Linked DNA regions of Struthio camelus. The main gene of each other region encodes a partner of the protein of the gene in region 2 in a complex. Links are inferred from orthologs where the notes say so. Each region holds a gene or a part of one and is shown on either strand. Other genes may lie near its edges.

Evidence for each region.
Region 1: the proteins of SYT1 (region 2) and CPLX1 are in contact, whole or in part, in a crystal structure (PDB 5W5C), measured with the Rattus norvegicus proteins. The link is inferred for Struthio camelus from reciprocal best matches to the Homo sapiens genes SYT1 and CPLX1. Residues at the interface, in NP_001028852.2 of Rattus norvegicus: Glu271, Thr383, Gly384, Glu386, Thr406, Leu407, Gln408, Glu412, Met416; in NP_074055.1 of Rattus norvegicus: Val61, Met62, Gly65, Asp68, Lys69, Tyr70, Lys74.

Annotation. Positions count from the first base shown.
Region 1 is NC_090982.1:1,094,145-1,102,380, reverse strand, and holds the start of CPLX1 (complexin-1), read right to left. Parts: upstream 3,130-8,236; 5' UTR 3,077-3,129; exon of another isoform or gene 2,672-3,076; intron 1,794-2,671; 5' UTR 1,716-1,793; coding exon 1,685-1,715; intron 1-1,684. UniProt on the Homo sapiens protein: Positively regulates a late step in exocytosis of various cytoplasmic vesicles, such as synaptic vesicles and other secretory vesicles.
Region 2 is NC_090942.1:44,750,347-44,757,996, forward strand, and holds the start of SYT1 (synaptotagmin-1), read left to right. Parts: upstream 1-4,579; 5' UTR 4,580-4,676; intron 4,677-7,650. UniProt on the Homo sapiens protein: Calcium sensor that participates in triggering neurotransmitter release at the synapse. May have a regulatory role in the membrane interactions during trafficking of synaptic vesicles at the active zone of the synapse.

The DNA.
Region 1 (8,236 bases), on a different chromosome or scaffold from region 2:
ACCTGCCTTCTCAGCAGCTCGCATTATAAAGCAAATCCTGACCCTGGCATGCAACATTATGTTAGAGTGGATGTCTGCCCAGAGTAAATGCTCCTTAGCAAGGGCAGACACTGCTTCCAAATCCTGTTAGTTACTAAGCCACAAGAAAAGGCATGCATCGCAATTTTTACTCCTTTGCTGCAACCCTCCTCCCGCTGCCTTTAACTGCAGTCACTAAGCAGTTACTTCCCTTTAATGGATTCTCCCATCTCCAGCTGCACAGGCAAGATCTCCAGTTTGTAGGTACCCTTGTTCTCCTCAGTGTAAGCAACTTCATTCACACTATAGCTAATGGTGCAAAATCTGTCCTTCACAAAATTACTTCTCTTTCAAAATAAACACCGAAGAGTAATGAAATGGAACAGTACTATCATAAGGACACATATCAGCTTGCATAGCTTCAATCCTGCTATTTTGTGCAATTAAAGCGGAACCTTTCTTCTTCTTCAGTTTGACCTTCAAAAACACCCCAACCAAAGCTTGGAATGCTTGCTCTGCTCTTTACTACAAGATCTTGCTACTTGGTGAAAAAGCAGTTCCTTTTCCTTTGAAGATGAAAACCATGTTTCTATGCCTTGGAAGGGACTCCTGCAGTCAAAGTATCTATCAGGTGTTGAAACTGTCCATGACATCAGTTAAACCAAGCATGAAACATGTAAGAAACATACTCTGAGCCCCATGGCTCTATAGTTTCTCCAGAGGAAAACGCATAGAAAAAACCACATACATTATACAGTGGGGGTGGGGGGAGTGGGGGATCAGAATCTCCTCATTGACTTCCTCTCAGGCCAACCATTCCAGCTCCCTGCAGGAACCTGTATTCATCATTCAGTGAGAGTCTTGTTTTGACTGAACATTCAAGCCAAGCAGCCCAGGAAGGGACCATAATTGCAAGAGAAAGAAGGAATCTCATTCACAAGTACTTCTGTGTTGTTTTCCTTTTCACCCCCCCCCACCACTTTCCCTCCTCCCCCCCCATTTTTAGGTTAAAACAACTTATCACATATAGAAGGAAACAAACTGAAATTACATTAAAGGTCTGCCTCAAATCCAGGTAGGGCAAGTGGGTGCCGAGGGTTAATTTATAATTATTTCCCTGCTCATTGCAGCAATATTGTTAAAAATAACTCCTCTAACACGAAGTACAGCAGCATCTGCACTGTCTTTACTTTGGTTTGGCTGAAGTTTGGTGGGGGGAGCGAAAAGGGGTTCCCACACACATCAAACGCTACTCTTATTTTTGAGTGTGCTCTGACTAAACCTGCCTGCAGCCCTTGCAAGACCTGCCTTAGGCATGGTAGGACATGAAGCAGAGCAGGACCCACACAATGCATAGCGGGTACTAGCAGCCAGCTAGTACCTGGCTAGGCACTACCCAGGGCCTGAGCACCTCGTGTGGCAGGTCTCTCCCCTGACGCACGGCTTTGGTCTCTGCGTGTTGCTGCCCTCTCCTGCTCAGATTGCTCAGATACTTGGCTCTGAGGCCGCAAATCAGTGACCAGGACGCTGCTGGGTCCCCAAACAGCTCTTCCAGCTGCAGACCCTACTGGAGGCTGTCAGAGGTCCATCCTCTCTCTCAGCTGGGGGTGGGGGGGGAGGGGAGGAGGAGGAAATCTGTGGCTCCCCCAGTGCCAACCACACTTACCTCCTAAAGCTTGTTTCATAACAAAATCCATGGCGATGGCTTAGGGGTTGCTGCCCGGTTTCACAACTGACATGCAAGGAGAGCAGGAATCCTGTCCTTGGAGGGCAGCCTGTGAGGAGACACCAACATCAAGAGAGGAACAGTGTCTCCTGGAGGAAGGATCTCTCAGCTTGCCCAGCCCAGACCTGCGGTCATCCCTCCCCGCAGCCTTCCTCCAAGTTTCCCACCCCGAGGCGTGCAGAGCCCGGCTGGCAGGACAGGGCACCCCAGCACGGGGGGGGGGCAAAGCAGCACCAGGGCAGGGTGGGGACACGGCAGACCCCCCCCGTGCAGGGCTGTCCCGAGGGGAGCGCTCCGGCGGCCAGCCCGCGGCGTTCAAGCGGGGCAACTTTCCGCCTCCCCGCCTGCCTGCCTCCCCCTGCAGCTCGCCCGCTGCGTCGGGGGCCGCCGCGGGGGCGTTTGAAGGTGAAGCGCCCCGCAAAGCCGGGCAGGTGCTGCGCGCCCGGGTGCAGCCGGCCGGCGGGGCGCAAAGCGCGGGGCAGGGCCCCCTCGCCAAAGCATCCCCTCTCCCGGCGGAAACCCCCCGGGGCAACGCCAGCGGGGGCTGCACCTTCCCCGCAGGACGGAGTGGGACCGCCCGGCGCCGGACACGCGGGGCAGCGCCGGCGGCCGCTCCGTCCGTGCGGGCTGGGCTGCTGCTCCCCCGCGCCGGCCCCGCGGAGCCGGGCTCGGCCGCCCCGGAACAAGCGCCCCGCCGCCACCTCGGCCCGGCACCGGCACCGGCACCGGCACCGGCACCGGCACCGGCACCGGCACCGCTCCGCCCGCCTCCCCGCGGTGACCGGGTGGAAGCGGCATGGGCAGCAGAAGGAGGAGGAGGAGGAGGAAGGCTTCCCCGCAAGCCTGCAGCCCCTCCGCACGGCGGCAGCACTCCTCTCCTCGGCCCGCGCCCGGTCCCGCTCCCGGTCCCGGTTCCGGCGCCGATACCTGCCGGCGGCGGGGGCTGCGCTGGGGCCGGCGGCCCCGGTGCGGGCGGCGGCAGGTGCCGCGACGAGGCTGCTCCGCTGCTAGCGGCTCCGGCGGCCCATGTGCGGCGGTCGGGGAAGTTGCGGGGTGTCGGGACACGGGGCAGAGGACGAGCCCGGAGCTTCTCCCTACTTTTCCCCCCCCGCGCCCCTCTTTTTATCACGGGATTTCCGGACCATCCCACCGACACGGTCCCTCCTTCCTCCTCCCCCTCGCCCTGCTGGAGCCAGGCTCTCGCCCTCCCCCTGCCTCCGGCTCGCCCGCCCCTTCCCTGCGCCGCCCTCGCCCCCCGCAGCCCGCCGCCGGCAGGGCCGCAGCGCTGCAAGGCACGCCGAGGGGTGCGGGTATTTTGTGCGCGTCCCCCACCCCTTCCGCGGCTGGCTGCGGGAGGCAGCTGTCCTGGCGCTTTGCTCAGGCAGGATTCATCCTGCTGTGCATTTCGCAACTGCTTCCTGGCGTTTCCTCGGGAGTCAGGGTGCGCCGTGAGGGGGGAGTCTGCAAATGCAGCTTCCTGCTCACGGGGTAAGGCGGGCAGCGCCCCGCGTCCTGCGCTGCGGCTCCTTCCCGGAGATCCCCGTTCATCCCCTCGGCCCGGGGCGGCGAGGCGGTGCGGAGAGGTGGAGAGGGAAGGCAAGGAAGGAGCAGCGCTTTCTCTCACCTCCGCCGCCTCGGGCTTTGCTATACGGCCGGGGGAGGATCGCCGGCGGCTCCGCTCAGCCCTCTCCACTCCGGAGGGTTTGGCAGCCTGGGGAGGCTGGAGGAGATAGGGAAAGACCCCCCTGCTTTGCTTGCTGAAGGACGTGGGGGGAACGAGCCCAGTCGCTGGTCTGCCTTCCTGCTGCCAGCAGGAGAGCTGGGAGAGCAACCCACAAGGGGCCAATATGGGGCCAAAGTCATCGCAGTAGTAGGGGGAAGGATGCAAGAGCAGGGCCAGGGAAACAATCCTCCCCCGGGACAGCCGCCGAGGCCCCTCCGGCTGGCCGAGTCTCCGGTGCCGGCTGCAGGGACCGGGGCACATGGTGCAATGCTAAGGCCGCCTCACTCTGCTTCAAGCAGCTTCACTGAGGCTCCATGACATCAGCCTAGGAAGCTCTGCTAGATGGGAGAACATGCTGCACTTTCACTGACAGCTTTCAGAAATCCAAGCAAAAGTTAGTAACAATGGGGGAGAGAGGGAGCAAGAGGAAAAAAAAAAAAAGGTCGAGGAAACAAAGCCTTTTTTTCTGAGCCCTCACTTGCCTCTGGTATTCCCAGTCCAAAGGGGATGCTGGAATCCTTTCCATGCTCTTACTGCCTTTCCATTGCCTAACTGTACTGTAGGAGTGACTAAGCAGAGAGGAGAGCACCCGGGAAGTGAAGCTGGGAGCCCACTAAAGGTAGGTACCCAGGTTTCCTGTGCAGTCATGAGCTATTTCCAGATCTGTGTTGCCTCCCTGGGTGCCCACATCATTTTGAGTAGGACTCATATTTTGGGTCTCTTGTGCAGCACCTCACATCTCCTCTTCATCATGTGATTCCCCTTGGAGGGGAGGACAGTGTGCCCTCCCCTCCACCCATTAAATATCAACAGGGTCACCTTCCTCCGATTGCCTGGAGTTTGGGAAGGAACTATTCAAATCCCCTCAAACACAAGGAACAGGGAAGGACGAGCTGACAGGTACACAGTTAGCATTCCCAAGACCCAGATATCTTTTCCCCACTTTGGGGAGCTTGGAGCATGGTAGTTCAAGAAACTCCTGTAGCAGGCCAGGGTCAGCACAGCCAAGCAGGGCTGCTGAGAAATGTCATCCTTCTTATCCATAGGGACCTTAGCTTTTGTTTATTGATACAATGAACTTTGTGACTGGGCATGTCCTCCACTACATATATATACAAAGGAAAAAGAGTAAAGCCAGGTAAAGCAACGGGCACACCAGGCAGAAGGCCCCTAGAGGTCCTAATAGCCTCTGGCTGATCAATTTGTAGCTGATGCTCTATCCCCAGAGCCCCAAGCAAGTGCCCCTCCAAAGGTGGTGTCTCCATGATCCTGTCCCCAGCCTAGTCCCGCTTCTTCCGGATTACTCAGTTGTTGTAGAAACCTGAGACAGTTTGAACTCAGGTTCAAATGCAGTGAAACACTACCCCAGTGCCCATCATTTCTCACCTCCATCTTCCTCAAGAGGGAAAGAGGGACATAACACTGGATCACCAAACCACAAACCCCTCTGAGAGATTTCTAGGTAGACTCAGCTTCAGCATCTCTCAACTATCCTAAGTGTCAGCCTCAAAGCACCTCCCCCCCCCCCAGGATGTACCTTCATGAAAAGATGAAAATCCAAACACTTGTGGGCCAGATGTGGGTACCTTCCATATTCAATAACAGACAGAAAAGATCCCACTAGCACCCTCGCTCACCAGGTAGGGTTTAAGTAGAGAGGCAAGGGTGGACACTTGGAGTCCAGTGCTACTGGCCAAAGAGAGCAGCATCACAGAGAAATGAACCAGGGAGCAGATGCTTCTGACATCAGCCCCATTGTACCACAGTTCAACCTCAGCTTCATGCCACTTTGGACACCAGCTGCCAGGCAATTGCAGATAGTCCATTTTCTCATCTGTGATAGAGGCCAGCACTGGCTGATTTGGAGAAGACACAATTTTTTTCACTACATCAGCTAACGACCTAAATACCCAGTAAAAAAGAGAGGAGGTAGGCTAGAGATCCATGTCCAGAAATGGTCTCAGAAAGGCCTTTGGAGGAGGCTTTTGACTGTGAAATGGAACAATCCCTCAATTTACTGAGAAACCCAGCTGGGTGGACTCATAGGTGATTTTCCAGGGGTACATGGCTTCTGCTACAGGAGAAATAACAGCTCACCCAGCCTTGGCAATCATACGAGCAATGCCACATGGATCTTCTTTCCGATGGCATAGAACAATAGGTTGTGGCCAGAACACTTTATGAGTGTGAAACTCAAGGTAAAATAATTGAATAGCATACTTAGTGGACAGCAACAAACCTCTGAAATAGCAATATTTTCTGATGAGCACAAGTGAAACAGAGGCTGGCACCTCTAAGTGGAGTTTATCTCAGTACCATGGGACAAAGGAGAACTGCAGCACACTCTGAGGCTACCCTTAACGTGTCTAGCTTCCCCAAACACCGAAGCCAGCTCTTAGCCTAGTTTGCGTTATGTAGCTGACATCCCTCAGCTCCCTGATTCCAGACCTGATGGTGGGCACAGGCCTGTTCTCTGTTCTTCCTCTCTAGAGCTGGAAAAACAGGAAGGTACTCTGGGACCTTCCTTGGTGCAGCTAAAGGGTACCAAAAATTCAGAGCAAATATCTCCTTCACAGGGCTTTGTCTAGGGAGCTCAGACTCCTTGGTCACTGGTTGAGAGCCTCTACTTTTGCCAACGTCAGCATAAGCAGATGGAATAAGCCATCAATCAGTTATGGTCACATTTCCCACAGAAAAAAATGAATATTCAGGTCTACAAAAAAAGAAAAAAAAGAAAAAAGGTCTCTTTCAAAAAAATAAAACTTCTGAATGAGTCAAGATGTTTCATTTCAACATCTTTAAATGCAATGTTTGATTATTCAATTCCATATGGTGTTTGACTACTAAAGTGAAATCAATGTGTTAAAAAGATGCTAATAAAAAAGCTCACAAACTGAATATGAAGGTTAGAGTGAATATGTAAATAGCTATCCGAAATGAACATAACCTGTTTCTTCTTTCTGATTTTTTTTTTTGCCACTTTATCTCTCACACTGATGTTAACCGCAGCAACATTCAGTGCACTGTGGGCAGGACCTGGATGCTGATGAGATGATTACAGTCTTTAATCAATACAGCAACTGAGAGGGATGAGCTAGAAACCTGCGACAAGTAGTTTGTGTGGTTCTCGTCCTTCCAACTGTTTAGCTCAATGAACACAAATCTATTGCATGTTCCTCATAGCTGTCAGTTCTGGATGTCTGTCAAAATATTTCAAAATTCAGGCATTTTTCTCTCTTCAAGATGATTGCTTTGCTTACTGTTGTTCCACTCAGTTTACAATAGACTTTTAAGCACGCTCTTTATTTCACAACCAAATAGAAAGTAGGTTTCTTCTTTTTAAGAAGTGGATATTCTCCCTGTAAGCCAAAACTACGAAAGGACTTTTTAAACATTGTGCCCAGCTCTGAAGAAAACGTCCCTCCAGGTTTCTAGAAGATGACTTTTCCAGGTGAGCATTTGCTGCAGCTGTCACAAGGCCAGCGTTCAGTCATCTGTACTTATAAAGCCTGATTCAAGCATACATTGCTCCACGTCCATGTCTTGCAGGGATGTGCCTGCATATCATTTCTTTCTGCTCAGCTCAGGGTGTCCCAGCCTGGTTTATCTGACAAGCCCCTCGCTAGGCCCCCAGTGACAGCTACTCTGTCCCCTGACATTGGTGATTTCTTGTTTATCCTCTCCCTTTTTCCAGCCCTCTTGTTCCTGCAGCTCTGTCTCTCCTTTCTGTTTCCTGATGGTTCTCTAGACAAGTCCTTGCCTTGCTAGACAGGGACGAAGCATCCCATCTCAGAGGAGCTGTTGTTGCTGCAGATGTGCACAGTTGTGTAAAAGTAGTTTCCCAAAGATTCTGTAGCTCTTATCCCCAGGATATCTACTCCTGTGCATTGTAAGGCCTCTTCTGCAAACAGGATCTGGTCACAGAGCTGAGAATCCATCTTTATCACCCCAGTGTTCATTCCAGGATGTCTCCGCTCAGAGTGCATCAGCTTTGGTTGTGACATTACCATCTGGGGTATTTTTGACAGAAATTTTTCGATCCGTAAATAAGACTCATCCAAACTCATGTGTTTTATGGAAATATGTCAGTTTAGACAGAAGTTTCAAAGGGAAACCAGTTAAAGGAAACACTCTGGCTTTCTCATATTTGATGCTTTTGAGACTTCCTCTTTTGACATGGCAAAAATGCTGCACTTTGGCAACGACTGAACCTTTTTGCCTTGACTTTTCTCTTCCAGCAAAAAATATGTCTGCTTCAAAACTACACGCTTCAGTCACATCAGATTACCACTTTGGGTTTTTTTTTCCAGATTTTCCACTTCATAGGGGAAGAAGTCACATTTTTCCTCTTTGTTGCAATTTGGAGTGGAAGAAAGTTTCAAAATGTCAGACATCCTTTAGAACAGAATTTCTATTCCTTCCAGCTCGCTCCATGCCTTGCCTTCTGTCATTACTCTAGTCCTTGCCAGAGAAGGGAAACAGAGGGAAACAGCATGTTCAGATGAGACTCCAGCTTACTGCCAGACTCTGTGCCCTGTTGTTCTTCTACTGCACAGAAAGAGAGTGCTTCCAGGTTCTCAGCTCAGCCTGAAAGGTAGACATTCACCTCAGCAGACACAGTTTCACATCCATAACACCCAGCTTAATTGTTTATTATTTTTAACTTTTCATTAGGCACGAAGGGAATATATGCATATTTCTTCAGATACTATTGTCCTTACCACAGCAATCACGCTTTGGTGCAATGTGTGATGCTAGCAAAGGAAGGT
Region 2 (7,650 bases):
TTAATGCTATCTGGGCAATGTCGGAATCCATAGTTCAGTGGTTCTTCATTTTATATAGGAGATTCTGCCTGAAAAGAAAACCAGGACTTCAGTCCACTTTGTCCTACCCACAGCGAAAATGCTGTTTTCCTGGAGTACAGGTCTCTCTCTTTTTCTGGAGAAAGCTGATTTCCAAAGCAACGAGGAAGATTAGGGAAACACAGCTGTCAACCCAAAACAAAATCCCTGAACGAGGGGCACCATCTACAGGGGAACAGACTGACACTGACTCAGATCTATCCTTGCGTTACACAGCTGACATCTGTGCAAAACACATGCAGGTTGGTTTGACTATACTTGAACATCCCCTCATAAAAGACCATTTCCATTACCCTTTTCATTTCTATTACCACAGTGTCCTGGAGCCCTGGGCACAAAGCAGGAGCTCTCTGTGTGAGGTACTACACAAATGCAGATCAGAAGAAGCCATCTCTGCATGAACAACTTAAAAGCAGCAGCAGATGCATAGAGATGAAGTGCAAGAAACCAACGAAATCCAAATGAAACATTGAGATAAATATTGGTCAGTGGACTAACCATAATTCTTGTTTTTTGATTCTACCCTTTGATTTCTAACTAGAATGAAAAATAGCAAAAACAAAACCAATTTCCTCCACTCCCTCTGACCAACTCATCTCACACATTGCTCCAAAAATCATCTTCAAAGACAGACTTTACATGACACACTTGCTTTTGTTAGCTGTGTACAGCTGAATAGCTACGCCACTTTTTGTTTTACTGAAGTTTAATTCTCACTTTTGCAACTTAGCTTTCTCTCTTTGACTTCAACTCTTTCATGTTCCCCTGATGTAGACTTGACTTTCTGACTAAGAATGTGCCTTCTAATGCGCCCACATCATCGTCACCTGAAACTGAAATCAGTGGTGGGATGAGAGTGTCATACAATGAAATCTCAAGATTTTAAGTTTTCACCTGTATATACTAGCCCTGGGATACCCAGTAAACTGTACAGTAAAGAGTGGACATTTCATTTCCTAAGATGGACAGTTTTAGAAGCACAAAGGCTCACAGAATCAGAACCTCTTTCTAAATGCTGTCCCATCTACCTAATCACAAGCTAGTTCCTTTGTCTTTAGGCATATAAGCTGCTCCACATACGTGAGAAAAGTCAAAAAGAAGGGAAAAATAGGAATGAAATCAAATGAAAATGAAGTGAAATCCTCTTTCTGGTAAAAATAGGTACCTGTGATCTTTGGCAACAAAAGGCTGGTGAATAATTTGATTATAATGATAGCTACAGTTCAGTTCCTGTTAGTTTACAGCTCCAAATTCTGCCTGGTAAGTAAGTTAACATGCCAACAATATCACTTGCTCCTTCACTCAGCTGCCTATTTGCCCTCATTTCCCATCTTGTACAGCTAACTGTGGCAGTCCTGATACTGGGTCAAACAGTTTCTGAGGTACAAAGGGAATCTGATGGTAGCTTGGCCCCCCAACCAGAGTCCTAACTGCTGTTTTTTGATATGCTACGACTGCTCTTGCTCCTGAATTTGCCTCAGTTCAGTGACTGTTATTCCACTATCTGCTCTTTATAAGCTGTAAAACTTCCAGGGTAGGCCTGAGTGTACTTTGGTGTCACTGGCTTTTGCCCAGGCTTTCTCATTGTTTATGGGGCAAGCAAGAGTCTCTTACTTTCCAGATCTAATTATGGCTCATACTACTTTCTATTCTTGAGGTTTTACCTGGAAGACATAGTTTACAGAAAACAAAAAATAAAAATGGCAAAGATAAATGTTGCATTATTTCTGATCTTGCTTTTTGATTCAGATTCTTTCCAGATGCTCCTGTACCTCTGGCTCAGTCAATGTTTAAATTAGAAACAGGGGATATGAGGGATAAATCAATTCTTCATTCTTACTTTACAGGATTCCTGATCAAACTTCTGAATGTTCATTTACAATCCTCTTTCGAGGCACTAATGAACATTATAAAAACAAAACAGAACAGGTCTAGCGTTTCAGAAAACCATTTCTTCTGGCTTTGCATATTTCTTCTTCTTCCTCAGCATAGGACACCTTCTCCTTCCCTGAACACAACTGTGGAAGACACAATAATAATAATAATGACAAATACAATGATCTGCATTTTGTGAGTTTAGTGATTAGCATTTGGCTAGCACTTCAAGCATTCATTTAACGGCTCTTGAGCTCTTCTACAGCTCCTTTGCCCATTCAGGACTGCATGTTGTCCCTCAAATTTCATAGCTTCTTTACGTTTAATTAAACACTATGACTGGACAGTAACTGCCCATTTCCTTGAGGATGCGGTAGTGAAGTAAAACTTGTTTATAGTACTGGAGACCTCCTTCTGTATGAATCAGCTTTGGGGCCTGAAAGGAACCAAGGCAAGCTGAGTACGTGTGCTAAAAGGAATTAAACCTCTGCAGTAATTTTTTTCCAGTGCAAAGTGGAAAAGAGAATAGGTGAAACGTCTCCCATGCAGCCCCTGTGTATGGTCTCCCACAGAAAATGGGTGAGAAAGGGATGGTCTACACTCTTCAGGGCTACTGCTAGAGAGCGTTTCTGTTCCTTACTGTCTGTACACTAGGAGAGGGCCACTGGGCCTAAATGATGTTTCTTTCTATGCTGAAACACTAAGACAGTGTGTCACGCCTTGTGAACGCAAGACTCCCACAGACTTCTGCCTGTGTGGCTCTTAGGAACACAGCATCAGGTCCATACAGTTATCTGCATCAAAATAGCTGTGTGTGTTTTTTTTTTAACTGACCAGATAAACGATCCTAGAGAAAATAATCACAGAGATCTGTTGTACTGAGAGAGAGAAATTACATGGGGTAATCTGGGCGTTAACGACTGCACTTTTGCACGCACAGGATAAAAAACGGCAGCTCCTCCTTTGTGTAGGTCAGCAAGAGCTGACTGATCTTTCCTTTCCTTTCCTTTCCCTTCCCTTCCGTTTCCCTTCTCGTGGCCTACCATGCCTGTATAAGAAAGACTCATAATGTGACTAAGAGACATAAGAGGACATGTCCAGCACGGATGGGATCACAAAACATGTATTTCAACCGAGCTGGAAAAGGACCGTGACTTTTCAGAAGCAAATACCACCACAAATGTATGGGTGGGGAATGGCAAGATGATGTCTTGTGGAAGTCGAAGTAAGTTGCTTACTTCTGGACATGCCTGGGAGCTTTAAGAGCTTAAACTTGGTCAGCTGTCTGCTAACGATGGCATGTTGAAAGAACGCCTCTTCTTGCCCACATTTGCTATGCATCATATTAAGCTACAATTTAGATAACGTCATATTCACTTCATGTGTGCTAAGTGAAACCAAGCGAATGGTTATGAAATACATTGATACTTACTAAAGATTTCTTAGAACAACTGTAATTCTGTAATATCCTGTACTGTTATGCATCAAGAGTAGGCTGGAACCTGTACGTTTGGTTCCTTGAAGCCCACTACAGGTTACGGAAAACTGTTATGTAAATATCATGGTATTATTTCTAGAATTGTGTAAATAAAATTGTATTTCCCTCCTGTAACTTTGACAATGTGCATGCAACAATAACAAGCTAAAGAACAAAGAACTTCAGCCTGCTGTATCTTTAAAAGCTAAACTTACATCTAAATCTATTCCCACTTCCCTCTGGAACCTGAGTAGCTCTTTATGTTGTATTAAACATTAGACAAATAGGATAGATCTAATTAAAAGTTGGAGAAATGTGCCTCTGCTAATTGAATTTGCTACAGTTACATTTTGGAGACCAATGTTAATCAAAGCTCCGGTTCAGAGCGGCTGGACCTAGGGAATTTAAGTTAACCGTTACATCTCCTTACCTGAATGTGCGACAAAGCCTGCTCTTGCGCAAGCCAAAGCGCCCCACCACGGGCCGCCGCCCGCCGCCGCTGCCGGGGCGGCCCGGGGCCGCGCGAGCACCGACCCCGCCAACCGCCCCAACCGCCGCCGGCCAACGGCAGCCCAGGCCGGCGCCCCCGGCACGGGGGCAGCCAGGGGCCAGCCCCGCCCCTCCCCGCCGCCTCGCGGCCCCCGCGCCGACCCCGGCCGCAAGCGGCGGCGGCGGCCACGCGTGGGGATGCCCGGCCGCCCGGCCGCCCGCCGCCTCGCGGCCCCGCCCGACGGGGCGGACAGGGACCCGCACGGCCGCGGGATGGGCGCGGCCGCCGCCGCGGCTCCACCCATTGTAGGCGCGGCGCCATTGGCTGGCGGCGCCAGGCTCCCCGCCTCCCAGCCAATGAGGGAGGCGGGCCGGGGGTGATGGGCTGCCTCTCGCGGGAGGGATTCCTAGAGCCGCTGCAGTGTGGTGGCGCTCCCGGCGCCGCGCAGCCCCCGTGCCGCCTCCGCCGCCCTGCCCGCCCTACCTACCTACCTACCCGCCCGCCCGCCCGCTGCCGCCGCCGAAACTTGCCGCTCGGCTCGCCGCGGGGCGCCGGGGCAGCCTGCCCGCGCGGGGGCGGCCCGCCGCGCACCCCCGCGCCGCCCGTTGTGCATCGCCGCCTCGTTCCCCCCCCCCCCCGGCGGGCGGGGCCGGGCCGGGCGGGGCCGGGCCGGGCGCGCGTGTGGTACCGGTGCCGCCGCCGCCGCCGAGGGGAGAGCGCCGAAGGACGGGCCGGCGCGCCCGCCCCCGCCGCCAGGTAAGGCAGCGCGCCCGGGGACAGCGCCCGGCGACGGGGGCTTCCCCGGCGGTGGCGGTTGGAGCCGGGGGGGGGGCGGCTGTCGTGCCAGCGGCGAGAGCACATGCTCCGGGGGCGGCTGCGGGGCTGCCGCGCCAACGGCCGCGGGGTGGGGGCGCCCCCTCTTCTCTCCCCCCCCCTCCCCCCGGCCTGGGCGCTCCCGGTGGACAAAGCGGGAGCCCCGGGCCGGGTCGGGGCCCGCTGCGCTCGCCCTCCGCGCCCGCGGAGCGCTGCCCGGGGGAGGGTGGGCGGGCAGCGCCGGCTGCCGTCCAAGTCGCTTTTCTCACCTGGCGGTGTCCGGCCCCCCCGGGTGGGCTGTCCCGGAGGTGGGAGCTGCGGCCGCCCCCGCCGGGGCTCCGCGGGTGCCCGCAGGGGTGTCCTCGCCCAGCACCAACCCCCCCCCCCCCGAGGGCTGACCTTCCCTGCTGGCAGGAGGACAAAACCTAGTAATTTTTGCATCAATTAAAGGAAAAAAAATTCCTCCATTACTTACTTGTGTGGGTTTTTCTTTTCTTTCTTTTTTTTTTTTTGTGTAAAACCCATGCCATTTCATTTTGCTTCCACAGACGTTATTTCCCTCACCTTATTTATACAGCTTCCTTACTTTGATTTCTGATTGTATTATGGGTCCATTTCACGTGCATGCGCATGATATGGGTAAAGGATCGATGCTCTGTTTTGGAAGTTAAATCGGCTTATCAAAAACTTCCAGGTAGAGTAGTCAGAAATTGACAAAGAATTGTTAATATTTCTTTTTGTTTCAAGTCTTGTGAAATAAAGATATCAAACAACTAGCAGCTTCTAGTAGTGAGTATAGTAAGTAAATTAAATGTAGTCATTGGAATGAGCCTTTATGGCACTTTCAACAATCTGTAATTCAATCATCTCTGATACAAGCTGCCTTTTGCTATTATTCATCAGACCCAGCTGAGTGATTTCTGTCAGATGGGAAGTGGTAGAGAGAAATCTCTAGGTAAATGTAACTGGAAAGCTTTCCAAGTGGAGTCCTAAATGAGCACAGAAAAGCACTTGGCTGCAATCTGGAGACAGATGTTGGCATCCAAATAAATCATTTCCTTTGATTGTTTCGGGGAGTGGGGGTGGTGGGTGTCAGGGCTTATTTTCCTTATTTAGTACCCATTTGTGAGTGAAGAAGCAGCTCGGTGCTTATGACCTTGCAAACTTAATGTAAACTGCTTTAATTCAATAGTATTTCCCTGTCTTTCAAATACTATTTTCCGTACAGGGGTCAGTACAGTGATTTTTAGATACAGATATACGTTGCAGTCTGCAACTACAGGCTACTACTAATCAACAGCTGCAATATTGATCCTTCAAGGAGCTATCCAGTGTGCCAGCCGTGCTTTATGTTGATCTATCACATGCTGTTTAAACTGCTTTATTGTCAGAGAGAGTTATTTTCATCCTGAAAAAGAGAAGGCAGTAGTTGTAGACCCAAGAGGAGACTCCTCTCCCTGGTGGGTTAACATCTAGAGTTACAGATGAGCGAGCGTACATTTTAGGAATGACCCTGAAAAGGGGTGTGGGGGCGGGGGGAGGAAGGAAGCTCTTGGGTACAAGGACAAGGGGGCAACAAATTAATTTGCCTTGTGAGTACATGAATTGACGTTTTTAGCCATGCTTACACTTTTTCTGAACAGGTTAGTTTAAGGAAATTCCATGTGTGTCTAGAATGGTATTTTCTTGCCTATATTGGGAACAAATGACCTGATTTTATTTTTTTTATGTCCCAGAGTCAAATATATTTTTATTTTCCTCCCAAGTTTTTTTGCAATTGTAGTTCTATTAGTAGTGTCCAAGGGGAGTATACTTTAATGTGGTCTATTACTTGGCTTGTGGTATAGTTGCTCAAAATTTGCATGCGTGCAATGCATAAATTGAAAAACTATGTAGCTTAAAAATATAGTGTAGGCAGCTGGAGTGAGAAGAGATGATCTTAAAAAAAAAAAAAAAGAACCACAGGGCAAAAGATAATGACATACCGTAGGAAATAATCATGCTCCTGCACTTGCAAAAGCGTGAAATGTTCCAGTGTAGCCATTTCATACAAGCCCAATTTTCCTTCGCATTAAGAGTGCCTAAGTGAGCCTTATTAATGTTTGATGCAAAAGATGCTAAATCCATTTTAAGGATTGATACTGGAATTTAAAGAGGTAGCTCACAGATTAATAGTGCAGTTCTAACACTTCCAACAAATAAACATAATCACTTAAAATATATACTATAGCAGTGGAAATGGAATATAACGTTCTCTGTAGCAGTGTCTAATGACAGACTAGAAGCTCTTTTAAAACCATAAATATAAAATAATATTTGGTTTACAATCCAAAACTTTCTCCCATCTTGTTTGTAATGTAAATCAGATGTAAGAACCCAGAAAACATTCAGCTTCGATTGGCGTAGCAGTTCGGAAGCTGTAAAAATAAAGGAAGATTCTGTTTGTCAGAAACACAGGAAAAATCTATACTAGTTCACCTAGCATAAAGAGAACAGAAACATAAAATCAATTTTTATGGCCTTTTTGACAGGGTTTGCTGTAATATGTAAAAAGAAAAAGTAGTTCAGAATCCTAGAAGTTTTTAAGCCACTCAGCCTTATAGAACTTAAAGTTGACTTATGTTTCCTTAAATAAAAATGAAGCTTTTATTTAGCATATTGCACTTTTTTCTTATCCATTCAGCACTCTTAGTTTAAAAAAATCCTTATGCATAGATGTGTGTATGTTTTTATATATAGATAGATACATATTTAAACACACAGATAAATTCTTACTGGCAACTGAGTTCTGAATAAAAGGGTGTACGCATCCTTACGTTACCTGCTCTGGAAGAGACATCAAAGTTTGCAATACAACTGAAAAGGACAAGAAAATATTTCCCCATGTTGCAGAATAAAAGCACGGAGGTATTCTTAT